2 linked regions of the Drosophila melanogaster genome follow. The protein of the gene in region 1 purifies or fractionates together with the protein of each later gene. This does not show direct contact. Each region holds a gene or a part of one and is shown in the gene's direction. Other genes may lie near its edges.

Region 1 (5,210 bases):
CCACTTTTTCTGGCTAAAAGCCATTTTCTGAAAGTCGGTCGATTAATGCAATATTTAATAAGTCTATTCATAATTGACCAATGTTTAGAAATAAATATATATGGAGCAACAACAAAGAAATATGCTGTTAAAAACATCTGTTGCGTCTACAAAAACATTTACGTTAAGTTTTTCCTCCGTTACAAAAGTTGTAATGAAGCAGCTGATTTAAGTGTATTAAGTTTATGTGACTGTCAAAATAAAAAAAAATCGTGTTGTACCCAAAATTGAGTAAAATATAAATTTCCTTACAAAAGCATTTGTTTGATAAAGACTTAACTTAAAAAGTCCATCAATGAAATGTACCTCATGTTGTAGCTTTGTATTCTTGTTAAGTTTTTTATGCTAAAAAGGAGTTCAACAAGGCGGTTGCTGATTTGTTGCTGATTTGTTTTATTATTATACCCGTTACTCGTAGAGTAAATAAATTCGTTGAAAAGTATGTAACTGTCAGAAGGAAGCGATTAAGACTATATAAAGTATATGTTCTTGATCAGGATCAATAACCGAGTCGATCTTATCATGTCCGTCTGTCCGACTATCCGTATGAAGATCTGGCCCTGTCCGTCCGTATGAACGGCGAGATTTCAGGAACTATAAAAGCTAGAAGGTTGAGATGCAGCAGACAGATTCTAGAGACAGACACAAGTTTGTTGACCCATTTTTCCACGCCCACTCTAACGCCCTAAAACCGCCTAAACGGCCGCATTTTGTGAAATGTTGAAATGTTTTCAAAATTGTATTATTCTTGTAAATTCCTATCGATTTGACAAAAACATTTTTGCCACGCTCACTCTAACGCCCTAAAGCCGCCGAACCGGTTAAACCCACACTTTGGAAATTTTTTCTCATTTTATTCCCCAAAAATGATTTATTCCCCAATCTGATAGTCGGAGAACTCGACTATAGCATTCTCTTTTGTTTTTGTTAGTATTATTTTATATAAAGGAGAATTCCCTTTACGAAAATTAGTTAATTAAATATAAGGCGTGGTGCCACGCCCACAGTTTTGGAAGTCTCATAGATATGGTCTAGTATAAGTCAATGTAAGAAAAGAAAAACCAAATATCTTACTCCGTTCTGGAGTTATTCATTTTGGTCAGAAAAAGTGGTAAAATTTCCCATAGTCCCTTGTGGGTGCCCCTGCCCTATGGCTCAATACCCCCCTCTGGAGTTGAGCCTGAGCACGTGGTGTCCATGTCTAGGAACTCCGAGCCACAATCCACCCCGTTGGGCAAATATGTGGTGGCGTTGGAACTGCATCTGTGTATGTGTGAGCTAGCCTGGGACAACGTGCCGGGAAGGGTATATTCGTTTTACGTTTTTACGTTCGTTTTTCATGGGACCTAGTACTTATTGATATAATGTCGGAGTGAGTAGAGGAACGTCATGCCCTGCCAACGGAGTTTTGGTTTGATAAATACTTAATATTTCGCATTTGAGTTTCGAGTTGAGTTTATTTAATTTTGGGTTCGAAAACAAACACTTTCTTGGTTTTGCAGTCATTTGGCTATGAAACTTTAAAAATAGTGCAGGAAATACCATTACACTTTAATGTGTCGAACGGAACTCGCATTAGATACATTCGTAAACATTTTCATATAAAAAAAATTTATTCAAACAGTTACTTAGTATTTATATTAAGGAGTTATCGTGGGTACGGACTGCAATGTCAATATGCAGGCATTAATTAAAGGACCCCAGATAACATAATCCTCTAATTTCAGCGGTGCCACCTCAATACTTTGGAAAATACGAAAAAAAACACTCTGACTCAGAAATCCACTCCGTTTTTGAGTATTTTCAGTTGCTCTCCATTCGCCAGTCTGTTTCGACTCAGGCTCTCGTGCGGGCGGAAGCTCCAGCCCCCTCTGCTGGGTGGACTTGTTGCTCGACTCGACTCCCATCGGCCAGGCTTGTGATTCGTCTTTTGTCTGGACTCGGGTCGGCCGATGGCACCGCTTCGTTCATTCAGCCATTCCACAAGTGGCCGTCATCACCAGCGCTTCCGCGTTTCCGGTAATCGTTGTGCGCTCCCGAGATATTTGATTCGAATTGTGCGGAAGTTTTTAAAAAATACTATTGCTTAGAATTCGAAAACGAAAAAGGATAGCCAAGGATCGATATATATTTAGCAAAAATGAAATGCAGCGTGAATTGTGAGAGTTGTTGAAAAGTGACTTAAATATTTAAAAACATCGTGGATTAATTACATCCAAGTACATGTAAGTTGTCAGTACAATTAAGCTGGCTGAAATGCGTTGTTGGGTTGAGTTCAACAATTTTGACAAAGTAAACTTACCTTATAAAATAAAGCCGACTAATTATGAAAAGCTTACACAAGCAAACCATTGAAAAATAAAAGAAAGCATAGAAAACTAATTTTATTTCTTTTCAACAATCGGTAGTCATTCGGGCTTGGGATAAGTTTACTTCATTTACAAAATTCCCCATACACTTGTCAACTGCAGTATACGTTGTTGTAACTTAGCGGGTGGACCGCACAGAAAAGGCAAACAATTGCTCACAAAAGTATGCTTTATTTAATAGAAAGCGTAATAAATATTACACAAGACCAGGTGCAGGTTGCATCGCTAAGATCCTCAAACCCCTATTTAGCGCTAACAAAGAAAGTGAAATTTTCTGTTAAGTCTCCAAAGGAAGAAGTAGACATTTCTATTGTAATGCCTTGATCGAAGTATGGTTTAACCATTCCCATGAGATGACATTTAAAGGTTGTGCGGAAGTTTTCAAAATAAATGAGTCCAAGAATTTTCTAGGATTATACGTTGGATTCAGGCTATTCATCTACTGTTGGCTAATCGAATGTTAAAATTATTCTCTCCCTTTAAAAGCCAATTGAATTATAAATACTGTTTTATTGTTTAATAAAAATAGGCGATATACAAATTAAAGAAACGGTTAAATGGAATTTATAAATCTGTCCTTTGAATAGACCCCCGATGTGTTAAGCCATGTCACTTTTCTCAACATTTCTTAAGAGACCCCAAAGAGTCTGAAGTCCAAGGAGCTGTTGTCGTTAAATAATAGCGACACTTTTGTTTCATTCAACACCGACGACGGAATAAATGCACTGCAAAGTGCGCGGTTTCTAACAACAAAGTCAATGCACATTTCTCGTCCCGCGTATTCCTTGGTCTGTCTCACGCTTTAAACGCTGCTGCAGGTTCCGGGTCAAATGCTGGTAAGCCAAAGGGCATAACCATAACAACGACAATGCGGCAAAAGCGTTTCATCGGTAAATGTTTTTTATACTCCTCAACTCTTGGCAAAAAAAGTATATTGTATACATACAAAAGAGTTTAGCAAGAAGTTGATGTATTCGCAAATTAAAGAGAATATTAAGCGGGTAAACTTTTATTTCATAAAAATAAACCGCCATAATTTTTAATTCATTTTTGGGACATGTTTCATTTATCTTTGCATTGCGATATAATTAAAATAGATGGTATGAAACCTTAATTTTTTAATCGTAATGACTTAAACATTCTGGCCACGCCCACTCTTACGCAAGCATGATTTTTTTCTAGACAGTACGGTGATATATAGTATGTTACATGAACCGTGTAGTTACAGTGCCCTATAATGGTGAACCGGTTCGCGAGCCAAAACTCTTTTAAATAATCATTACTTTTGCTAAATGAAAATCTTTCACAAATTCACATACTTATACACATTAAAGTGAAGCTAACAACGTGACAACAATTGATGTCCGGCAAGCATCGCATCTTGGGGTCTCTCTTTTTCCAGAACCCTAATACTTATCCGTGGTTCAGCAGCAAGCACCTCGATGATAGTGTCTTCTCTGGAAGCGAAAAAAGGCGTCGCCGGATGTAGTAAAATAGTCGTCCTCGCAGTTGTCCTGTGCACAGCCTTGATCCGAATTCTCATAAGTCCCTGAGATCAGCAAGGAGACCATTTTGGCAACGAAAATCACACGCCTGCTGTTGACTTCTGCGTTGGCCGATTAAACCCAACCAAACCCAAAACTTTTAGAAGTCCGAAGTTCTCATCGACTCAGGCTCTTTATATACAAAATCCATAGCCATATACAGAATCACAAGAGTTTGTGAACACCACTGTACCATTACAAAAGACAAGCAATCGACGATGTACAGCACTGCGCTAAATGAAACCAAAAGATGGCCTTAACTATAATGGCTCGCAATATCTATCTGGTGATGTTTTAAACGAATAAAGTCGAATTCTTGTTCAAAGAGGGCATTTTTCGTGGTCAGTGGCAGTGCAAACCGCTGCATATGACCGACCGCGATTTTTTAGAGCACCTTCGATCTGGTGAAAAAATATTATCAGTTACTAAAACCGCAGTTTACACTTCTTTTTAGTTTTTTTGTTTTAAGGGTGTGCAAACGATAAGAAAATAATAATAATGGTTTTGCAAACGTTTTTAATTGATAATATTTAGTTGTAAGCGATGGTCAAACGCTTTATGTCATATATTTTCTAAATTATACATTTTTTCAAATTCTAAAAGGTGGTCAAACGTGAACAAACAATGGTATTGCGATTTAAAAAAAAAACCTCAACTTCTTGATTTTATATCTTTTTCGAAAATTCTGATTTCAAAAATTGGACGTGGCAAACGATACCAGATTTCAAATTAAAAGAAATTCGATTTTTCCGAACCTAGCAGTCCTTGAGCTATAAAAGCTAAAAGGTTGAGGTTAAGCATACAGATTCTAGAGACATAGAAGCAGCGCAAGTTTGTTGACCCATTTTGCCACACCTACAAACTTACCAAACCTGTCACGCCCGTGCTTTTGAAAAATGTTTTGATCTTTTTTCATATTTTCGCTGGTGTTGTAAATTTGATAAACAAAACTTTTTGCTATGCCCACTCTAACCCCCATAAACCGCCTATTTCATTCTAATTGTATTCTGATATCTGGGTTCCTGATAGTCGGGGAACTCCACTATAGCATAGTCTTTTGTTATTGCTGTGCACGGGGAATTAAACGTCACAATCAGCGAGTAAAAACACTAAAAATTATACACGTCATCATTAACTATTATCTAGGTGCCTCTTCCTTTCTGCACGTCTTTAATTATTACTTTCAGAATGTTAGTATGAAATTCATCTTATTCCTAAAGCAGAACTTATGTGATGTGTCATGTGGCCAGATGGCATC
Region 2 (7,996 bases), on another chromosome or scaffold:
GGGCTGGAGATAAGCATGTGGCGTTTGAAACAAATCATATTGTTATTCATGTTTTGAAAATATCTACAATTAATGTAAAGGTTGTTCTAATTTTGCCAACGATAACTACAAAACATATATGTTCTATCCAATATATTTACATACAGGGTATCAAATTTACAAATAAATTGGCAGTGTGGCCATACGTTGCGAGCAAAAATTACTGTACTTCAAGCATTGCCAACACAAGAATATTTTCATGGTTAAAAATTTTGGCGCGATAAAGCCGCAGTTTAAAATGTCAAAGTGTGCGCGTTCTTGGAGGTTTACCAAAATTTAGAATCATGCTTTTATTTATCGTGCATAAGTTGGTAAATTGGAATTAAATCAAGTTTTTTCCAATTTGTTTCTGGTGTGTCGTTTGTTTTGGGGTCTGTACGGCTGCTTTAATTAAAAAATATTAAAATGAAGCACGCTATTCTTTAAGGACTTTAAGGAAACGTACCTTTCTATGTTTGCCCAGGAGTTGATAGACGATATCAAGGCTGAGGATCGCATCCTACAATGTCCTTGGTGCGAAGAACAGACGTTGAGTCCATCAGCCAGCACCCGGAAACTTTTGTATTGGCTTTTAACGCTTTCAATTCGACTTTCAGAAAAGAGTCTCCTCGAAAATCACGACTGATATCCATGTAAATGAATCGGTAGATACTTGCACTTTCTTTTTAGTTATTAAAACTGACACACTGTCACTTTGCAGGTTTTAACCGCTGGCGGAAATGAAGAAGGAATCCGGGAATATTCATTTCAGTCCATTGTGGTGCACAGCGGAACTCCCCTCAGGAACAATCTTAGCCCACTAAACATCAATAAACTACTAAAATAACTTTGACTGCTGCTTAATTTCAAATATACATAAATTAATATTTTTTATTTTTAAGTTAAATTTTTTAATTCTTTTGGAGGCTCAAATTTTATATTTGGCGCAGCACTTTAATGTAGAAAATGTGAATAAAGAAATATTTCAAGGGTAAACAACAAAAAATGTTTTGATTTTGTAAAAAAAAAAACCTTAAAAATTATGAGGAGTTATAAAATAATTATCAGTTTCCGGAACTTTAAAATTCTTATCTTCAATTTGATCTTCAAGACATATTTTTCTTATAATAATATTATCAATAATATTATATAATATGTAACGGATATTTAAGTTCTTCATTTTCTTTTTCAGAAGTATTAACAAATGCATATATATAAATACATATATATTTATACAATAGAATCGCATAGGCATGAATTCAGCGCGCAAAATAATATAATTACAATAACATTGATATTATATAATAGATTATAATAATATACATATGTAAGTGTAAGTTATAAAATGGTAACAAAGTTCAACAGCTCATAGGCGAAGATCCAGTGGCACGGAATTTTCAATACAGCCAGGAGAACATCCTAATATTTTGGATAAACTCTTTGTGCCACTGTTCCGGGTGATGTGCATCATGTCCAGCACGGAGGACCTTATGTACCACTATTGCTGTTTCCTAGATTAGGATTCGCTAAAAGCTTAAATTGTAATTTCAGATTCCCAAAAATAGAAAATACCGCCAAAAGTCAGGGCAATGGCACTGCAGAAAGGATGCAGGATATTATATGTTCTTTTTGTTTTTCTCTCCCCAGAATTTGGCCCAATTAAATTTGGTATTCGAAAAAAAGAGCACGCCTCCTCCCCGAAACCGAAAAAAAACTCTGTGGCGCCGGGAACAAAAAAGAGCGCGAGAGAGTGAGAGCGCACACATAAAAAACATAAACAAGCCTTTTTCACTAGTGTGCGTTTGTGCGGAGAGAGAAGAGAGCGAAAAACAACTTCTGAAAAAAGACGCTCTTCGCTGTGATTTTTTTTCAGTCAGTTTTTCGACGGTCGTGAACACGAACAGTTATTCTAGCTCCTCCTGTTCTGCTGCTTCTGTTGGTGTTTTTTTGCGTTTGCCGCGACGTAAACAACCGAAGAGCGGAGCTTACGCCCCCAACTGCTCCAGCTCCACGCCCCCCTCGCAACGTGTTCGTTGTAAATGCAATTAATCGTTGTTGGTCGCTGAAAAAACTAATATTTCGGGAGTCCGATACAAGAAGGGCAAAAAAGCACAAGTGCAGAAAAAGCAAAAAAAAACATAAGCTTGCCGTGTGTGTGCGTTGGTGTGTGTGTGTATTTTTGGCGTGCGCGGCCATTTTTTCTTGTTGCCACTCGAGAGTCTCTTCTGTGTGCGAAAGAGAGGCCCGACGGCAAAGCAGAACGTAGCAAACTACGCAAATCCCCACTAAATTCGCTAATTTTCGCTAAATAAATCAATCGCAAGGGGTGCCCAAAAACAAACAAAAGTACGAAAATAGAGTGCCGCAGACCACAAACAAATCACCTGCGCCAGTGTGTGTGAGTGTGTCAGTGTGCGAAACAGGCAAGCTCCCAGGCGGGCTCCCACCCACAATCAGTCGGCGAACACGTGCTCCAAAATATCAACAAAAGTTGGCCCACAAACATAAAAAAGGGGGCCGCGACTGCATCCGAGACCCGAACGCCGGAACACAAAAGGCACTTTCAAATTGGTAAGTACTTTGCGCTGCACGAGCATGTTTTATTTATTTGCCTTATTGGTCAAACACACTTGCGATTGCGGTGTTTGTTTCTCTTTCCCGCGCTCACGCACAGTGGTCGCTTTTGTTATAATTGTGAGACTTGAAAACGATCGCCGTAAAATTCACATTTTTAACAAAATATTTACTGTTCGAAAGAGGGGTTTTTTGCGAATCGATGATTAGTTGACGTGTTATTATGAGAAAAACATAAAAGATTATAGGACATTATTTTTTTAAAAATGTTGCAAAAATGATTTAAAGTTTGCGATTTCCTTGTTAAATAACATGAAAGCGTTTACAGTTATTACTATTACAAAATTATAACGATTTAATATGCATATCCTTTATATATTAATTGCTACTTGAAAATTACCTAATGTAAAAACTTATATAAAGCAAATGAATTACAATTTATTTATTGGTTAGGACTCTATATCCTATTTTATAAAAAAAAAATAATAGCACAATTTCCAAAGTGTTTGTCCAGTGTTCCATTGGTCAAATACTTATTGTTTCCTTATTTCCGAATCTTCGCTATTTGGGGAATAAGTCAAAACCTTTAAACTCCAAACATTTGTAAGCCGAATGCGACTGTCAACAAATAATTAAACCAGAATAATTTCAAAAGCGTTTTGCAGTCGTGCCGCACTACTTGACCATTCCGTTTAGTCGCTTGTTTGACTTTTTATGCTCGTTCCCATTCATTTGGTGGCGGTTTTTTTTTCATTTGTGTTTGTGTGTCGATGTCTTTTTATCTTCCACTTTTTTCGTACTCATCAAATATTCGCTTCTTTTTTCGCACACATGTCGCCCCCAACAAAAGAGAGTGAGAGAGCAGTCCGATTGCGGTTGTTGCGCTGTTGTTGTTGTTCGCTCGCTCGTTCGTTTGTTTATGCTCGCTCTTTGCTCTCTTTTGTTTTCAGCTGCTCGCGCTCAATTAATTTTCGTTGATTCGTTTTTTGTGTGTAGGTTTTTTGTGTATACCATTTTATTTATACGCTTTTTGGGCTTCTCTTTCTCGTGTTTTTCTTTTTTGGGGTTTTCTTCTTTTTTTTTTTGTTGTATTTTTGGGGACTGACCGATTGCGTTTATTTATCCCCAATTTCCCCATTTGCATTCATTATGTTGAGCGGTCAATTTCCCGTGTTTCTGGATCTGTTGTTACACGGTTGCGATTACGATTCCGGCTTCTGTTTTATATTGCTCGCCACTTTCGCTTATTTCATATTACAATTGTTTGTTCGGCAAACAATTGTTTGCTTGTCGCCCCGTCTCGCTCTAAATGTGCGCAACAAGCGAGTGGCGCGTCCTTTTATTTTCTGCATTACATGGCCGCCCTCCCCCTCCCCATCTTTACACAGAATTCCTGCTACCATGCTGTTCAATTGTCCAACGTCAGCATTAACAACAACAACAACAAAGGCAGAACCGGTTATTTTGACCAGGCAAAACCAAAAAAAAAAAAGCCAAAAATTGAATTTACCTCTGACGTCAACACCCACCCGACCAAAAGGTCGTATTCAAATTCGCGCTCAGAATACAGTTTCCATTTCACAAGACCTGATTTTGCGATTTATATGCAACTATTTACTTATAATGCGTTATGCACATAAACCAATGTTGTTTAAATTAATTATGGAATACTTGGACATTTTTACAGACATAAATACATGAGTTTGAAAACCTTATTTCGTATCAAAAGTCACGTGTTTTATGCACATTATAAATATTTCGGAGACTTAAAATTAGTTAGTTAAAAGCCAAAACTGAATCCCAATTCGCATAATAATACCGACATTTTCTAGTGAAGATAAAAGCTATGATTAAAGATTTGAGTAATGACTTTTGCCTGTTTATTTGTAATGATACTATAGTTATTTGTATTTGTCAAATTTCAAATTATTCGTATGTTTGCATGAATGCACTAATATTTTATAAATATTTTTAAAACAACGCATTTAATGTTTTTAATTGAGCAATAATTGCGACGCATTGTTATTCAGCGAATTATCAATTATTCATCCCAGCTGAAATATTTAAACGCCCTTAAAAACTTTAAGTTTCATTACATTTTATCGCAACGTATTCTTTTCAAATACGCTTCCGTTTTGATTTAACGAGCAACAACTTCTGAAATAGATAATATATTCTAAGAAAATTGACCATTTTGGCGTAATTTAAAGTAAGATATTATTAATTCTTTTTAACTTTGACTTAATATAAGTTTGGAACACATTCTTTTCATGTGTTTTTTACTGTTGCATGGAAATCCCACATTTTAAGTAATTCATTTGGGATTTACAGACCAAGAACATCAGTGGTCCATTGGAAACCCGGCTGCATCGCCCTAAAAAGTGGCAGAGATGTAGTTGCATTCAGTTCTCGAGGTTGTTGACACGTTCCGTTGGCGCCCCTGACGTTTTTTGCCTTTTTTGCTTTTTTTTTTTTTTTTGCCTGCCCATCGTCACCTGGCCACAGAGTAATCGCGATTTTGGTTCTTCGGGCCAGAATGCGATTCCATTTCGCTTTCCATCTGGTGGTTGTCACCAACAATTTCTGGCCGCAAGCGCCTTTTTTGTTTATCTTGTGATTTTTTCCGTTGACTAACTCTTTTTTGCCCGGCATTGTTATTAATTCTCTGCGCTTTTTGCGCCCCATTGGCAACTTTTTACTGGGTTGCAACAGTTGTGCTTTCAGTCAGTACCTTCTGCGCGCAGCACGTTTAATTCACAAACAATTAATTAATTCATGCATATTTATGTTAATGTGCAGAAATTAATGTACCCAACGGCGGGGAGTGGAGCGGCCAAGTGGCAGAATCGAAAAGTAGTTTAAGCACTTGTGCCGACTGGGCACAAATTTGTGGATTCAAGAATTACAATATTTCTGTACTTTCAGCACAAAAACGCGCCGAGTTGTGTAAGCCCGCCGCCAGTGAAGTGTCGACTTCCCGGCGACGAAGACCGCAGCAATATTTCCACTAGCCAGTAACGCACAGGCTCGTTCCGCCGCTGACGACGACCCCAAACTGGACGCCCGCACCATCGCCTACCGCCCGCTGACCCTTGGCGGCCACCAGACGCCGCTTATGGCCGAACTGCCGACGGCGCCGAACGGCGTCCCCAGCGGCGATTATCTGCACCGCTCCATCGATCAGCTGCGTTCGCTGGGTCATCTGACCACCGCCCAATTGGTTCACGACTACAAGCCCTTCAACATTAGCGAATTCCGGCAGAATGTCGCTGAGCGACTGGACTACTCGCTGAAGAACGGCCTGGTGCAGCACCAACAGCAAATGGTCATGGAGCAGCAGCCACATCCCGATCAGCAGCAGCAGCAGCATCTGCATCACCCGCAACAGCAGCAGCACCCGCCGCAGCTGAAGGTCAGCTACAGTGCGCCCAACTCGCCGCCCACTCCACACGAGCAGCAGGAACAGAAGGTAATCACTTATTTCAATATTGAAAAAATATATCATACGCATATAAATGTTACTGATATGATACTTAAATTGCGATCTTAATATTTCTTCGGTCAAAGATTATATGACTTTGCTTTAGTAACCCATTCATCGTGTACTTAATACTAAACGATACCCTTAAAACGTTCTATCTACTTCCAGTACGACCCGAATCGATCGCCGCCGCGTCAGCAGATGAGCAGCGCTAGCGGCAGTGGCAGCAACGGCTCCTCGCCTGAGGAGGAAAGCCGACGGGGAGACGGTGATCAGGCCAAGCCCTACAAGTGTGGCTCGTGCAGCAAGTCCTTTGCCAACTCCTCGTACCTGTCGCAGCACACGCGTATCCACCTGGGGATCAAGCCGTACCGCTGCGAGATATGTCAGCGCAAGTTCACGCAATTGTCGCATCTCCAGCAGCACATCCGTACGCACACGGGTGACAAACCGTACAAATGCCGGCACGCCGGCTGCCCGAAGGCCTTCTCGCAGCTATCCAATCTGCAGTCACACTCGCGTTGTCATCAGACGGACAAGCCGTTCAAGTGCAACTCCTGCTACAAGTGCTTCAGCGACGAGATGACCCTGCTGGAGCACATTCCCAAGCACAAGGACTCCAAGCACCTGAAGACGCACATCTGCAATTTGTGTGGCAAATCGTACACGCAAGAGACCTACCTTCAGAAACATCTGCAGAAGCACGCAGAGAAGGCGGAGAAGCAGCAGCATCGCCACACGGCCCAGGTGGCTGCCCACCAGCAGCACGTACCGGCGAGCGGCATCGGCTTGAATTTGCAGCGCCAGGCCATGAACGATGTGAATGCCGCATATTGGGCCAAAATGGGCGCAGACAGTGCGGCGGCTTCGCTGGCGGAAGCCATTCAGCAGCAGTTGCCGCAGGCCGGCGGTCAGCCGTATGGCAACTTTGCATCCCTGCAGCAGCAGCATCAGCAACAGCAGCAGGAACTGCTGCATCATCAGCGATTGGCAGACACGCCGGGGCATTCGCATAGTCCTCACGAGGAGGCCGCGGGCGAGGATCTCGTCCTGCGCCAGTCAACACCACAACATCACCTTCAGCAACAACAGCAGCAGCAGCAACAGCAGCAGGCCCAGCAGCAACAACAAGCGCAGCACCAGCCATCGCCTGGACCGGGAAACTCGGCCTTCACTCCACTGTCGGCGACAGTGGCTCCACCGCCACATCTTCAACAGCATCGCGGTCCGCCAGGATCCGCCGCTGCCTATCTGTATCAGCAGAATGCGGCGGCAGCAGCAGCGGCTTTTCCCACACAGCTCATCTCGCTTCACCAGATCCGAAACTATGCCCATCAGCCAGGAGCGGCGGGTCTCATCGCTGGCGATCATCTCGCCTTGGGCCTGAGCGCTGTTAATGCCGCCAAAGAAAAGGCGCAATAGTACAGGCCGTCAGGTCGGGGCCAAAAGAGGCAGCAACGATGACATTAGCTTAGGATCAACGTTTAAGTTGGTATGGATACAAGAGCGTGGTATTTTATTCTCTTTGAATCCATACCAATTGAAACACTGAAAGTAAAATAAGTTACTCATAGTTTCCAGTTGGCAGTGGCATAGGAGCTGGGATTGTGACTGGTTTTTCTTAAGCATCCTTCCAACTTCCAAATTCATCATGAAACTTGTATACGATTCGGCCAAAATCAACTCCATCACTGCCCAAAACCAATAAGAAAATCAACTGCAATCCTACAGTTTCTGTGCTATTTTCAACTGCCATATGAAAGTAATATGTAATATCTAGATCAACTCAGGATTTTAAATACGATAATTATGCACACTTTTAGATATCTATAAGCAATATTCAAATTAAAACCTTGAACTATACAAATAACTCGATTATAAATAGTTCACAGTTTTATTTTCTACTAGGAGCAGTACAAAGTA

Evidence for each region.
Region 2: the proteins of dimm (region 1) and sqz purify together in Drosophila melanogaster (affinity purification with western blotting; one study listed by BioGRID). This does not show direct contact.

The regions. Positions count from the first base shown.
Region 1 is NT_033779.5:21,329,763-21,334,972, forward strand, and holds the start of dimm (dimmed), read left to right. Parts: upstream 1-1,993; 5' UTR 1,994-2,264; intron 2,265-5,210. UniProt on the Drosophila melanogaster protein: Transcription factor that regulates neurosecretory (NS) cell function and neuroendocrine cell fate. Acts as a master regulator of common NS functions such as Phm expression and neuropeptide production.
Region 2 is NT_033777.3:19,162,328-19,170,323, forward strand, and holds the start of sqz (squeeze), read left to right. Parts: upstream 1-1,883; 5' UTR 1,884-2,589; intron 2,590-5,517; 5' UTR 5,518-5,707; coding exon 5,708-6,061; intron 6,062-6,241; coding exon 6,242-7,495; 3' UTR 7,496-7,996. UniProt on the Drosophila melanogaster protein: Transcription factor involved in neuronal fate specification. First required in embryonic CNS development to define the number of cells that express apterous (ap) in the ap thoracic cluster of interneurons.